3 linked regions of the Macaca fascicularis genome follow. The protein of the gene in region 3 purifies or fractionates together with the protein of the main gene of each other region. This does not show direct contact. Links are inferred from orthologs where the notes say so. Each region holds a gene or a part of one and is shown on either strand. Other genes may lie near its edges.

Region 1 (3,747 bases), on a different chromosome or scaffold from region 3:
TTCCAAGAGCCTAAAATCCACAGTATTTCCAAGCCAGTACATCTGACCCCGTAGTGTAGACTCAATGCATGCTCTATGCCATCCAATAGTTTTCCAATTGCTCTAAATCCTGAGGTGAAGCCTGCTAGGCCCAAGTCCCCATTTGCTCAAAAAACAAAACCAAACAAAAAACCACCTTCCTTGGGGTATGTATATCACCAAGGAACCCAAAAGATGAGGGGATACGTTCCCCTCAGCCCTTCCCTATCAGGCAGCCTTTGGATGGGAGATGAGGAAACGTTGGGTCTGACTCTTTTATTCCAGCCTCCCAAAGTTGGGGGAGCTGTCCAGTCCCCAGACCAGGAAAGATTTTAATCTCTTTGTGATCAGATAAATGGGAGAGTGGGGGAGGCTTGCTACCCTGCTGAGGAGGGCCATTCAAAGCTGGTTCCTGTAATAAAGTGATTTAATAGATCTAAAGAGGCCAATTCCCTTCTTTCTCCCACAATTACTTCCTGTGGGTTATCATTCACATATGTAAATGATACAGAGAAGGGAGAAAAGCCACCAGTGGGAAACTAGCTGTCTAATGGGGGGTTGGGGGGGATCAGGATGCTGCAAGGGGTCAGCTCAGTATCCTGCTACAGGTCCTCTTGGCAGATGTTCAAGTAGCCCACTGACCCCATGGCCCCAGCACTAAGTAGTGGCTCCCCATCTCTCTGCATCTATTCCCCTGGTTTGTTCCTCACTGAAGGCTGTGCTCAAAGATGTCCCTGCTGCCTCCAACTAGTCCATCCAGCATCTCCCTTCCCCACCCCTCCCCCCAAGAATGCCATCCCTCAGGCTCCAGCCCTTAATCCCCACATCCTCCTTTCCCCTCCCCCACACCTCCTAAAGCCAACCTCCCTTAAGTAACCCCTCCCTGCCCGGCCTGGGTGTCAACCTACACGATCTGGGATTAGCAATTTCTTCTTTCCAGATCCAGCCGCAAACCTCCAAAGATGGAAGGGCCACAGGCAGCAAGCAACTTCCTTTCCATGGTCTTTATGGGTAGCTGGTGGCCCAGGACCACCAGAATGCCTCTAGGATATTCAGGAAGGGGAAGCCTGGGAGGAGGGAGACCTGAAGTCTCTGGCTTCTTGTTTGAGGCCAGGAATGTTGAGACAGCAATCAATGGCTGTCTGGGGCCATAAATGCCAAGCGGAGAATAGGTCCAGAGGCCAGCCTCCCTCCACCCCCTGCCCTGCGACACTGAATTTCACCCCCTACTGTGCTGCCCTGCTTTAACTGAGAACTTGGGGTTGCGACCTATCCACTTCCCTCCCAGCCTGGCCCAGGAATGTAAGGAAGGCCAGGGCTCCTTGGGTTTTCCTTCTTCACGGGAAGTGGACAGCAAAGACCCCAGTCCTGAGCTTACAAGCTCCCATGTGGATCCTTCAGGGATCGGCCAAACCCAGTTTTTAGTGACCAGCCAGGTGAGGTCTGCATTAAAAAGGGGATGTGGCTGACTTCTCGGCTTTATGCCCCTTGGGTCCAGTAGCCAGTTGCCCTCACTCTCTCCCGCCTTCTGAGCTCCATTCAGACGTTGGAGGCGCTGGGCGCCCGGCTCAGGCCCGGCATGTGCTTCCCTGGCCGGCCTGCTCGCCCTCCCCCCACCGGCAAGCACAATACAACCTTAGTTTCTGCCACATGGGGTCACCTCCCTGCCCCCTACCCCTTCCCAGGGGAAAGAGGTAATAGACACGTGGTGAGCCGGAGGGGTTCCCGGAAGGGGGCGGGGGTGCTGATAATTGGTGCTGCCTCCAACTACTCCCCCCGAGATAGTTAACAGGGACTCAGAATTGGGGTGCCGAAGCAAAGACAGGGACGCATAATGAGGGTTCCCGAAGGCCCTCAATTCAACAGCGAACCCGGAGCCCACCCGTGGATACGTGCACCTAGACGCCCTTCCCTGGACAAAGTTACCGCAATCAGTCTCACCTGGTGCACAAAGACGTCCACTGGGGGGTCGAGCGCGACCCCAGCGCGGGCGGTCATGGACAGGAAGCCGAACCCCATGCGCACGTTGAACCACTTACAGATGCCCGCACCGTGCAGCAACTGAGGCTCGTCCGCCGCCCGGGCCGCGTCCTCCGGCGCCTCCTCGGGTGCCTCTTCTGCCGCCTTGGCGCAGCCACCTAGAGAGAGGGAGGGCCAGGCACTCAGCTAGGGGGCACGGAATCGGAAGGCGGTCTCGGGCTCCAGGCAGGGAGACCCGAGTGTCCAACCCCATAAGTGGACAGTCAGGAGGGGGCAGCTACCAAGGAACAGAAGAAACCTATCCCGGTCGCCTCCCGCGCTCCCCTAGCGTACACCGGGACAGTGGTGCCCCGAAAGTTTGCTCCTCTTCCCACAATGCGTTTCCCGGAGACTCATGGCGAGACAAACCTCTCCCCTCCATCCACCCACGTAGTCTGGCGCGCACGCCACTGGAACACCAAGGTTCCTTGCTCCAGAGACGGCCCTATGAAGAAGGAGGCCGCACCGTCTTGGGGTCCTTTGGGCAGCCTTGGAGTCAGTTCTCCACCTTCCTTCTACGTGGCTTCTGGCCGCCCCTGCCTCCTAAGGTGTCCCAGCTAAGTCCCGAGCTCGAACCTGCAAACTGCTGGTTGGACACTGAGCCCATGGTCGTCGGCTGAGCCCGTGGCCCCGGGCCCCTGGTCGGGCGGCTGCTGGCCCCGGAGAAGTCCGAAGGCAAAGGGGTGGTTCGGAGAAGAGGCTGCTACATCTTCCCCCGCACAATAGCGGTGGGAGGGCCCACGGCTTTTCAAAGGCTCCCAAATTCTAAAAGACAATGACCCAACCCCCCGCGGGCAGCCCCCTCCCCTCCCCTCCCTCTCCTTTCCCCTCCCTTTCCCTCCAGCTCCAGCTCCGGCCCTCCCCCACTGCTCTGGTCTCTGACACCTCTGGGGTGTCCCTTCTCAGAACCTTGAGGTTTGACACCCCCTCCCCACACACACATCTGGAGTTGGGGCTGTCTGCTCTAGAAGGCTTGAGTACCCCGGAATTTGGGATCCTGCATTTTGGACTCAATAGGGGTCCCCAAAGCAGATACAGGTGGGGGACCTGGTGGGGGGGGGTAGTTTTAAAACCACGTGACTGCTCACACACACACACACACACACACACACACACAAACACACACACCACCCCCACCCCCCGCGCAGATAATTATACATTCCAGAGAGTTGGGGGAGGGAGGTGTGAGCCTGGCAGCGCTGGCCAATCAGAAACACAAACCACCTGTCAAGGGAGAAATGAATGGGCCCTCCCCCTCCCCCAGCTCTTGAGCGCCCCTCCCCCTCTCTTCCCCCTCAGGCCTCTGAGCTGACCCGGCTGCTTGGCGCTGACCCGTTCTCACCCCCCACCCCCGTGTGCTTAGATAGACCTGGAGTTCTGGACACTAGGAAGCCCGGGATGGGGGAGCAGGGGGGAGAGGCTGGGGACACACAGGGCTGGTCTGTCCTGACCAAAGCGCTGCCTTCCAAAGTCTGTCTGCCTCTGACTACATCTGAATGTCTGCCTCCCAGAGTTTCTGACACAGAGTTTTTCTGGGCCTCCCCCAGTTAGAAAAGAGAAAGTGCTCTTAACTGATTCGTTGTAAATAATTCTTCCCTCTTTCCTCCCTCCAAACCTGTGTGTCTAAAGTTAGCCCCAGGTAAGCTCCCTGAAGAGCAAGAGGAACCCAAAGAGTCTTGAAGCTGTTTCTCCGCCAGCTGCCTTCTCGTC
Region 2 (3,747 bases), on a different chromosome or scaffold from region 3:
AGATGACAAGAACGGTACCTACTCCTTAGTATTAAAAGATTAAGTGTGCTAACAGGGAGAGGGTCAAACGTTTGTTGTTTTATTACACAGCAGGACATCAGGTCTTACTTTTGTAGCTCCCCATCTCAAAGACAGGGATGGCAAATGTTTCATTCAGGAAAAAAAATCCAGGTTGAACAATGGGGCTGTTGGGGTGGGGCCAAGAACATTCTGCTCGAATTAACAGTATTAATGGGCCTGGTGAGGTGGCTCACGCCTGTAATCCCAGCACTTTGGGAGGCCGAGGCAGGTGGATCACCTGAGGTCATACATGGGTGAAAACCCGTCTCTACTAAAAAACCAAAAATTTGCTGGGCGTGGTAGCGGGCGCCTGTAATCCTAGCTACTTGGGAGGCTGAGGCAGGAGAATCGCTTGAACCCAGGAAGCAGAGGTTGCAGTGAGCCGAGACCACGCCATTGCACTCCAGCCTGGGCGACAGAGCGAAACTCTGTCTCAAAACAAAAAGAAAAACAGTATTAATGGAATGTAGTATAACCCTCAAGCCCTACTATTGACACTTGGGGCCGAATCCAGACCCCGTCTTCCCGCTCGGATTCAGAACACCTTCCTGACTCCCTGGCCCTAGGGCCGCAGCTACCTCGGACAGCATCCTTTTGGGAAAATACCGCCCACTAGCCCCACGACTGGGAAAGAGTCGGGCAACGCCCCTCCCCTCAGCTAGGGCCTGCCGTTTCCTAGTGCTTGCCCAGCCGCCCTCAGGTCACCTTCACTACCGGGCCAAGGACCCCGTGGGAACTCGCAGCCCTCGCCACACCGGTTCCTCGCGCATCCATGGAGTGCCTAGAGAGAAGACCTGCATGGCAAAAACCTAAACGAAGAGATGAGAGGCATGGAGAGGAGTACGACAACAGAAGAAAGATAACAGTGGGAGGAGACGTTAGTTTCCTTTATCCGTTTTGTTACTGGCGGTAGCAGGGAAGTTAGAAACGGTTTTAAAACAAATTTCAGACAGGCATTTTCCAAAGGCAAGCCTGGAGCGCACGGATCTGTACAACCGCGGAAGGCCCCGTTTCCGGTCCCTTGCGCCTGCGCTCTTGCAGCCAAGAAGGCGGGAGGCTGGAGTAGGGAGAAGCCTGCAACCGGAAGTGAAGGCAGATTTCCCTCCTTCGTCGCTGTTGCTGCCGCCATACGCGCTCTGCCTGCTTAGGTAAGCTTTGGCGTTCACTACAATCCGTTGCCATCTGCGCTTCTTCGCACCCATCCCGTCACATGGGTTCCTGATACCCTTTTCACAGGCGATCGTCTGGTCTCTGGGGCCTAGTTGGTTCCCCATTTCCGTAGCTTGCATCCCTTTCGAGAGCAAAGAGCTCTTGGGGGAAGGAAGGGAAGCTAAGGGGGGGCCCAATCCAAGATGGTGTCCTCGGCGCCATTGTGTTCGTTTTGCTCCCTTCTTCCAGTAGGTTCTTTTCATATTGGAGGCCTCAGCATCAATGAGAGGCGGCGCTAGGCGTCCCTTGGTCTTGGTATTTGCGGAGGGCGGGGCTCTTATCACCTTACTTGTCCTTTCTTGAGCCCTTTCTTGGCCCACGGTGGGACTGGGAGGAGGAGCCGGTTTTTGGGCCCAGTTGGATTTTTCTCACCTTGACTCGCCCAAGTTAATTTGGAGTGCCTTACAAGTGTTTACTACTGGTGTCATTGTATGTTTCTCCAAAAGGAGTCTCACCTTCGTAGCGCAACAGTGATGTCAGACCACTTGGTAAAGATCCTGTTAAAGCCTGGGCGGGGATTGCCTTTCTCTGTCAACTATTAACTTTGTTATTGTAGGGTGGAGACATGGATTTTTTTTTTTTTGGTGGCCGAGCCATTTGTCTTGCACCGCCCCTCCCCCCCATGCTAATTACACAAGGCTTTCTTAAACAACGGAAGAGAGGATACTGAGAAGTGGGAGGCTGAGAGCTATGGGAGGTGGACGGCGGCCATATGATGTTTTCTTTTCGAAAGATGAGCGCTTTGCGCAGTGATGACCCTCATCTATCACCCTTGACTGATGGCTGCTGAGTTAGGCATCCATAACGGTGGGATTATAATAGGGAAAGCACAGTCTTCCTTTGAGGACTTTCCAGGACTCTGCTTGTCATCTCCATTTTCCACTTTACTAAGTTATTAATCATATTTTATCTTTTATTATCTATTATATTTCCTCACTGTTATTTTCAGATTAAGAATTTATAAGTTGGTCTTCCCCTTCCAACTTTTCTGGTTTCCGCTACTGTGATTGCTAATCTTGTTGGGAACCTGTGTCCTAACCACTTTCGCTGGTGCTGCTTTTTCTGTTCTCTTGTATTTGCTTTTCGTTTTTATGTTGTGTATCTGTTTTTTTTTCCATGTAAAAGTTTCCTAGTTTAGGGAAAGTGGGAACTGGGAATGGAAAAGAGGTGGTGAAGGCTCTGCTCGTGACTAAGTCTTGCTTTTTTTTTTTTTCCCCTTCCCCAGCTCTTCTGTTAGAAATAGTATCTTTATTTTCCTTTGCTGTTCCTCAATCCCCTACTCTTCACCCCTTGTTTTCACCTGTTTTGCGAGAACCCATCCAGATCCCCCTTCCCGTCTTCCCCTGCCGGCCCAGTTATGGCAGAGAACGATGTGGACAATGAGCTCTTGGACTATGAAGATGATGAGGTGGAGACAGCAGCTGGGGGAGATGGGGCTGAGGCCCCTGCCAAGAAGGATGTCAAGGGCTCCTATGTCTCCATCCACAGCTCTGGCTTTCGTGACTTCCTGCTCAAGCCAGAGTTGCTCCGGGCCATTGTCGACTGTGGCTTTGAGCATCCGTCAGAAGGTAAATTTTCTCTTGGGCATGTAGTGCTCATTGGGCTCTTTAAGGGTACAATAAAAAGATGTGTTTGTTGTTGCTCAGGTGGTAAAAGTTTATACTTAAGGCTAGATCAGGGTCAGGTGCAGGGGCTCACGCCTGTAATCCCAGCGCTTTGGGAGGGCAAGGCAGGAGGGGTGGTCACTTGAGCTCGAGTGCAAGAGAAGCCTGGGCAAGATAGGGAGACTCCTGTCTCTACTAAACGAAGCAGGTGAAGGTTGAGGCTTCAGTGAGCCGTTATTGCACTACTGTACACCAGCCGGGGAGACAGGAAAAAAAAAATCAGGAGATAAGTATCGAAAACGATTTTGGATAGAGGAGGATTATACAGACTTGTTCTTTCTTTCATGATAGCACCAAAGTGCTAATTATCCAAAAGTAGCTTCTAGGTCTGCCATTCATTCTTGTGACTGACTTCTTTTGTCTGCTTATTTTTAATTTTGTCATTTGACTTGTAATTTTAAATTTCCAGAAAGGTCCTGATTGGACCTGTAGTCTCCCTCTGTTGGGCCAGGCCAACTGTGGCCTCTGGAAACCTCTATGACTGGTTTAGAGATGACTGGCTTCTGGGTCAGGTACCAAGTCCTTCATTTTGTCCCGGGTTGTTGTTATGTGACCCGAAGTATGGCAACCTAAGTAGGAGAAATGTCTTTAGCAGGTATTCAGATGTCATGAATTGTTACAGATTAAGAAAAATAAGGACAGAGCCAGGAGCATTGAAGGTGAGCGGTTGGTAGATGCAAGGGGGCTGTTAGTAGGACTGGGAAGGCCTAGATCTGGAGGAGGCCAAAGCTGGGATGAATTAGGAGAGTCTGATTTTGAGGTGAATATAATTGAGCAGAGAGAGGTAAAAGGGGTCTGGAAGTTGGCAAGAACC
Region 3 (3,647 bases):
GGGAAAGGTTTGCAGAGTTACAAATATTTGAGCTAGGTGTTAAAAGAACAGATGGAGCTGCTGAGCACTACACAGATTCCAGAATGCCTGGTTTGAATGCTGGCTCTGTGTTTAGTTGTGTGACTTTGGGCAGGCTAAAGCACTCTGTGACACTTCCCTATTCTGTAAAATGTGGACAATAATGGAACCTCCTCTATGGTGATGCGGTAAGGATAAAATGAACTGAAAATGTAAATCACTCAGGACAACGGTTAACACATACTCGGGTGGTTAGTTTTCTGGAGTTTACAAATCTGAAAATGTCCTTCTGTTGTCTTTATTTGTGAAGGCCAACCTGGCTGGTATGACAACCTTAGATCATACCTTATCACCCTAACAATTCAGTATATTTCAGATCAGTGTCCTCTGGCAATAACAGATACAGTGGAAAAGTTAAAGGTTGTGATGGATTTTTATGTTTTTACAAGTAATTTGCTTTAGTTTCCTGCTTTGTGTCAACTCCTGCTGTCCTGGTCCTATCAACTGTAAAGTCTGTGAACTTCACAAATAAGAACCAAACAGCAAAAACTCTTTCCTTTAGGGGGAATGAGTGCAGAATGAGTCTTCTGCATTAAACCTAAGATTATGACTGTGGTGACAACCCCTTTTCCCCCATCCCTCAGGCGTCTTGGTAATCACCAAGCCTTCCCAGATACCTCCATGATTTAATCTACTTTGACTTTGGTTTCTCCTACTTCCTGGTGTGCATTCCAGGTGCCATCCCCACAGAAGCTGGAACACTTCCTGATTTCCATCTGGACTAGCTGAGACTCTGCACATAGCTGGCTCTTGCTAGTTTTCTCTCCCAACAGTCTGGATCCTTCAACAGGACTTCTACTTCACTAGCTTAGTCTTGATTCAACTTAAGAGAGTCCCTGCTAAGAGATGCTGCAACTTAAGAGAGTCCCTGCTAAGAGCCCCTGCTAAGAGATGCAGGCTGTGTATGTTTCCACTGTCTAGGAATTTTTGCCATGTCCAATCCGACCAGACTGGATCACAGTATATTAATATCAACCTGGTTTGGACCAGAATTTGAAGCTTATGTATAAGAGACCACACATATATCAATTCTTAGAGAACACAAGTTTCATAAAATAATTCATATTACCTGGTAAAGTCACGAGACAGTTCTGAAGAGAAGATCCAATTTGCTACTGCAGCACAATCAACTATTTGTGTACGAATCATCTTATCCACTAGTACAGCAATCATCTACAATGAGAGAAGAATTATTCAAGTAAATCACACACACACATACACACGTATATGTGCCACGACACTGCTACCATAAAAGTAAAATAGGAGGGCTAGGGCTATAAAATCTAGTTTTGATGGCTGTAGAACTGATTGATCAATTTGACCATTAGGTCTTTTTTTTTTGGAGACAGAGTCTTGTTCTGTCACCCAGGCTGGAGTGGAGGGGCACGATCTCGGCTCACTGCAACCTCCACCTCCTAGGTTCAAGCAATTCTCCTGCCTCAACCTCCTGAGTAGCTGAGATTACAGGTGTGCACCACCATGCCCGGCTAATTTTTGTTATTTTAGTATAGACAGGGTTTCACTCTGTGGCCTAGGCTGGTCTCAAACACCTGGCTTCAAGTGATCCACTCACCTCAGCTTCCCAAAGCACTGGGATTACCGGTAAGAGCCACCGCGCCCTGCCTGATCATTAGATCTTAAGATTTATTCTTCCCTTTGCTTTGCTCTAGCACTACAAGAAACAGGTTGACTAAACAAAAACTCTGAATGGTAACAGTTAAAATTTGAAAAAACTGGCCAGGCATGGTGGCTCACACCTGTAATCCAGCACTTTGGGAGGCCGAGGCGGGTAGATCACCTGAGGTCAGGAGTTCAAGACCAGCCTGGCCAACACGGTGAAACCCCATCTCTACTAAAAATACAAAAATTAGCCAGATGTGGTGGTGGATGCCTGTAATCCCAGCTACTCGGGAGGCTGAGGCAGGGCAATCACTTGAACCCGGGAGGCAGAGGTTGCAGTGAGCCAAGATCACACCACTGTACTCCAGCCTGGGTGACAGAGTGAGACTCTGTCTCCAAAAAAAAAAAAAAATTTAAATTTCAGTTACTAATACCTATTCAAAAAAATATATAATTTCGAGGAACCTCAGAAGTTAAATGTAAAACAATGTTTTATCATTAAAAACTCAACTGTTTTATGAAATTTATTTAAATGTTTCTTTGTAATACACAATATATATCAAGGTTTGAGAAATCTGGAGCTTGTATTTAGAAATTGGATAGACTAGATAAACTTCTTGCTGAACATTTAAAATATGTTGAGATATTATAGTTCAAAACCAAATCACAATAATGCTTGCTCTTTCAAGAATGAATCAAACATCATTACTCCCATAGCACTGAAAGAATTAGATCTAAAAACCATTATCTAGGCAGAGTCAAATTTCATGTTTTACAAACAAAACAGTAGTAATTAACGGCCTTATTTTTATACCTATATAATCAGAGCTTCAACATGTCTAATTAAATAATTTTTACCTGTGGATGGTTCCTCCAGACCTCAAACATAACTCTTAGCACATGTAACTTCCCTTCATCACTTTCAGCTAGGGTTTTGAAGACTTCATGAAACCTTTTGATAATGGTGGGAAAAAAATATCATATATACTTATTCGTTAAACATTTCAGTGTTTTCAAAGCCTTTTCAATGTTACTCAATTTATAATGCAATATGCAAATGCAAAATAACTGTAAGTATTAACCATTAAGGATGCAAAAAGTGTGATTAGAGATTCATAGTTTTTAAGGAAGCTGTCACAAAATCTCAAGACATTTACAATATACTACCGTTAGCCCAGGGCTACAGTTTATAAGAATAGGTAAGGACTAAGGAACTGTCTTCAAACATGGTGGAATATTCAAACTGCATCTTCTGTGGGAACCCTGCAAGTAACATAAAGCCTTGGAGGCAGAGATGGGGTGAGATGTTCAGTTTCTCTGCTTGGTTGGAGGAAAATCTATGTGCTCTTTCTTCCTTTGGACCCTGTCTAACAAGTTAAAAATATCTGTCTTTAGATGTCAACCTTTGGGTGGCTCCCAACAATGTAGCTGATTCTAATTTCTTCTTACATTGCTTGGCAAAGATACTTAGCGTGGGAACTTCCAACTGCATATGACTGTCCTAAAAATCTAGGTTTTTCACTACTTTAAATGTCTATATGAAAAAAAGCGCTTACCATGTACATATGCCAACTGTACAAACAGACTGATGGAAGCCTTAGGATACAGATTTTAGCTACCACAAACCCAAACCCACTGTATCCAATTATACATTATTAAGATCTTCATATTCAACAATCTTAGGTAAAAATTACTATACCACTGGTGTTCATGAAGCAAAGTTCCAAACCCTCAAGAAAGGCTCTGTACTCATACATACTTTGCAAGAGCACTGAAGGAGTGGCTGAATGATTTGGCTGCCAAGTGTAGCAGAGTCTGTACAAAGACTTCTATTTTCAATGGGTTAAAACTGAATCCTTCATCTGAAAAATATTTTATAATAAAATAGAAAAATGTAAGTACAGCAATCCCTTGGTGCCTTACCTCAAATGCTAAATAGATGGTACGCT

Evidence for each region.
Region 1: the proteins of NCBP1 (region 3) and LIN28A purify together in Homo sapiens (affinity purification with mass spectrometry; 3 studies listed by BioGRID and IntAct, with this or other methods). This does not show direct contact. The link is inferred for Macaca fascicularis from reciprocal best matches to the Homo sapiens genes NCBP1 and LIN28A.
Region 2: the proteins of NCBP1 (region 3) and DDX39B purify together in Homo sapiens (affinity purification with mass spectrometry; 6 studies listed by BioGRID and IntAct, with this or other methods). This does not show direct contact. The link is inferred for Macaca fascicularis from reciprocal best matches to the Homo sapiens genes NCBP1 and DDX39B.

What each region holds. Positions count from the first base shown.
Region 1 is NC_088375.1:208,719,836-208,723,582, forward strand, and holds the start of LIN28A (protein lin-28 homolog A), read right to left. Parts: upstream 2,773-3,747; 5' UTR 2,645-2,772; coding exon 2,614-2,644; intron 2,157-2,613; coding exon 1,960-2,156; intron 1-1,959. UniProt on the Homo sapiens protein: RNA-binding protein that inhibits processing of pre-let-7 miRNAs and regulates translation of mRNAs that control developmental timing, pluripotency and metabolism.
Region 2 is NC_088378.1:140,189,061-140,192,807, forward strand, and holds the start of DDX39B (spliceosome RNA helicase DDX39B), read left to right. Parts: upstream 1-1,154; 5' UTR 1,155-1,208; exon of another isoform or gene 1,209-1,757; intron 1,758-1,976; exon of another isoform or gene 1,977-2,054; intron 2,055-2,494; 5' UTR 2,495-2,626; coding exon 2,627-2,837; intron 2,838-3,747. UniProt on the Homo sapiens protein: Involved in nuclear export of spliced and unspliced mRNA. Component of the TREX complex which is thought to couple mRNA transcription, processing and nuclear export, and specifically associates with spliced mRNA and not with unspliced pre-mRNA.
Region 3 is NC_088389.1:60,461,457-60,465,103, forward strand, and holds part of NCBP1 (nuclear cap-binding protein subunit 1), read right to left. Parts: intron 3,561-3,647; coding exon 3,458-3,560; intron 2,651-3,457; coding exon 2,557-2,650; intron 1,252-2,556; coding exon 1,148-1,251; intron 1-1,147. UniProt on the Homo sapiens protein: Component of the cap-binding complex (CBC), which binds cotranscriptionally to the 5'-cap of pre-mRNAs and is involved in various processes such as pre-mRNA splicing, translation regulation, nonsense-mediated mRNA decay, RNA-mediated gene silencing (RNAi) by microRNAs (miRNAs) and mRNA export.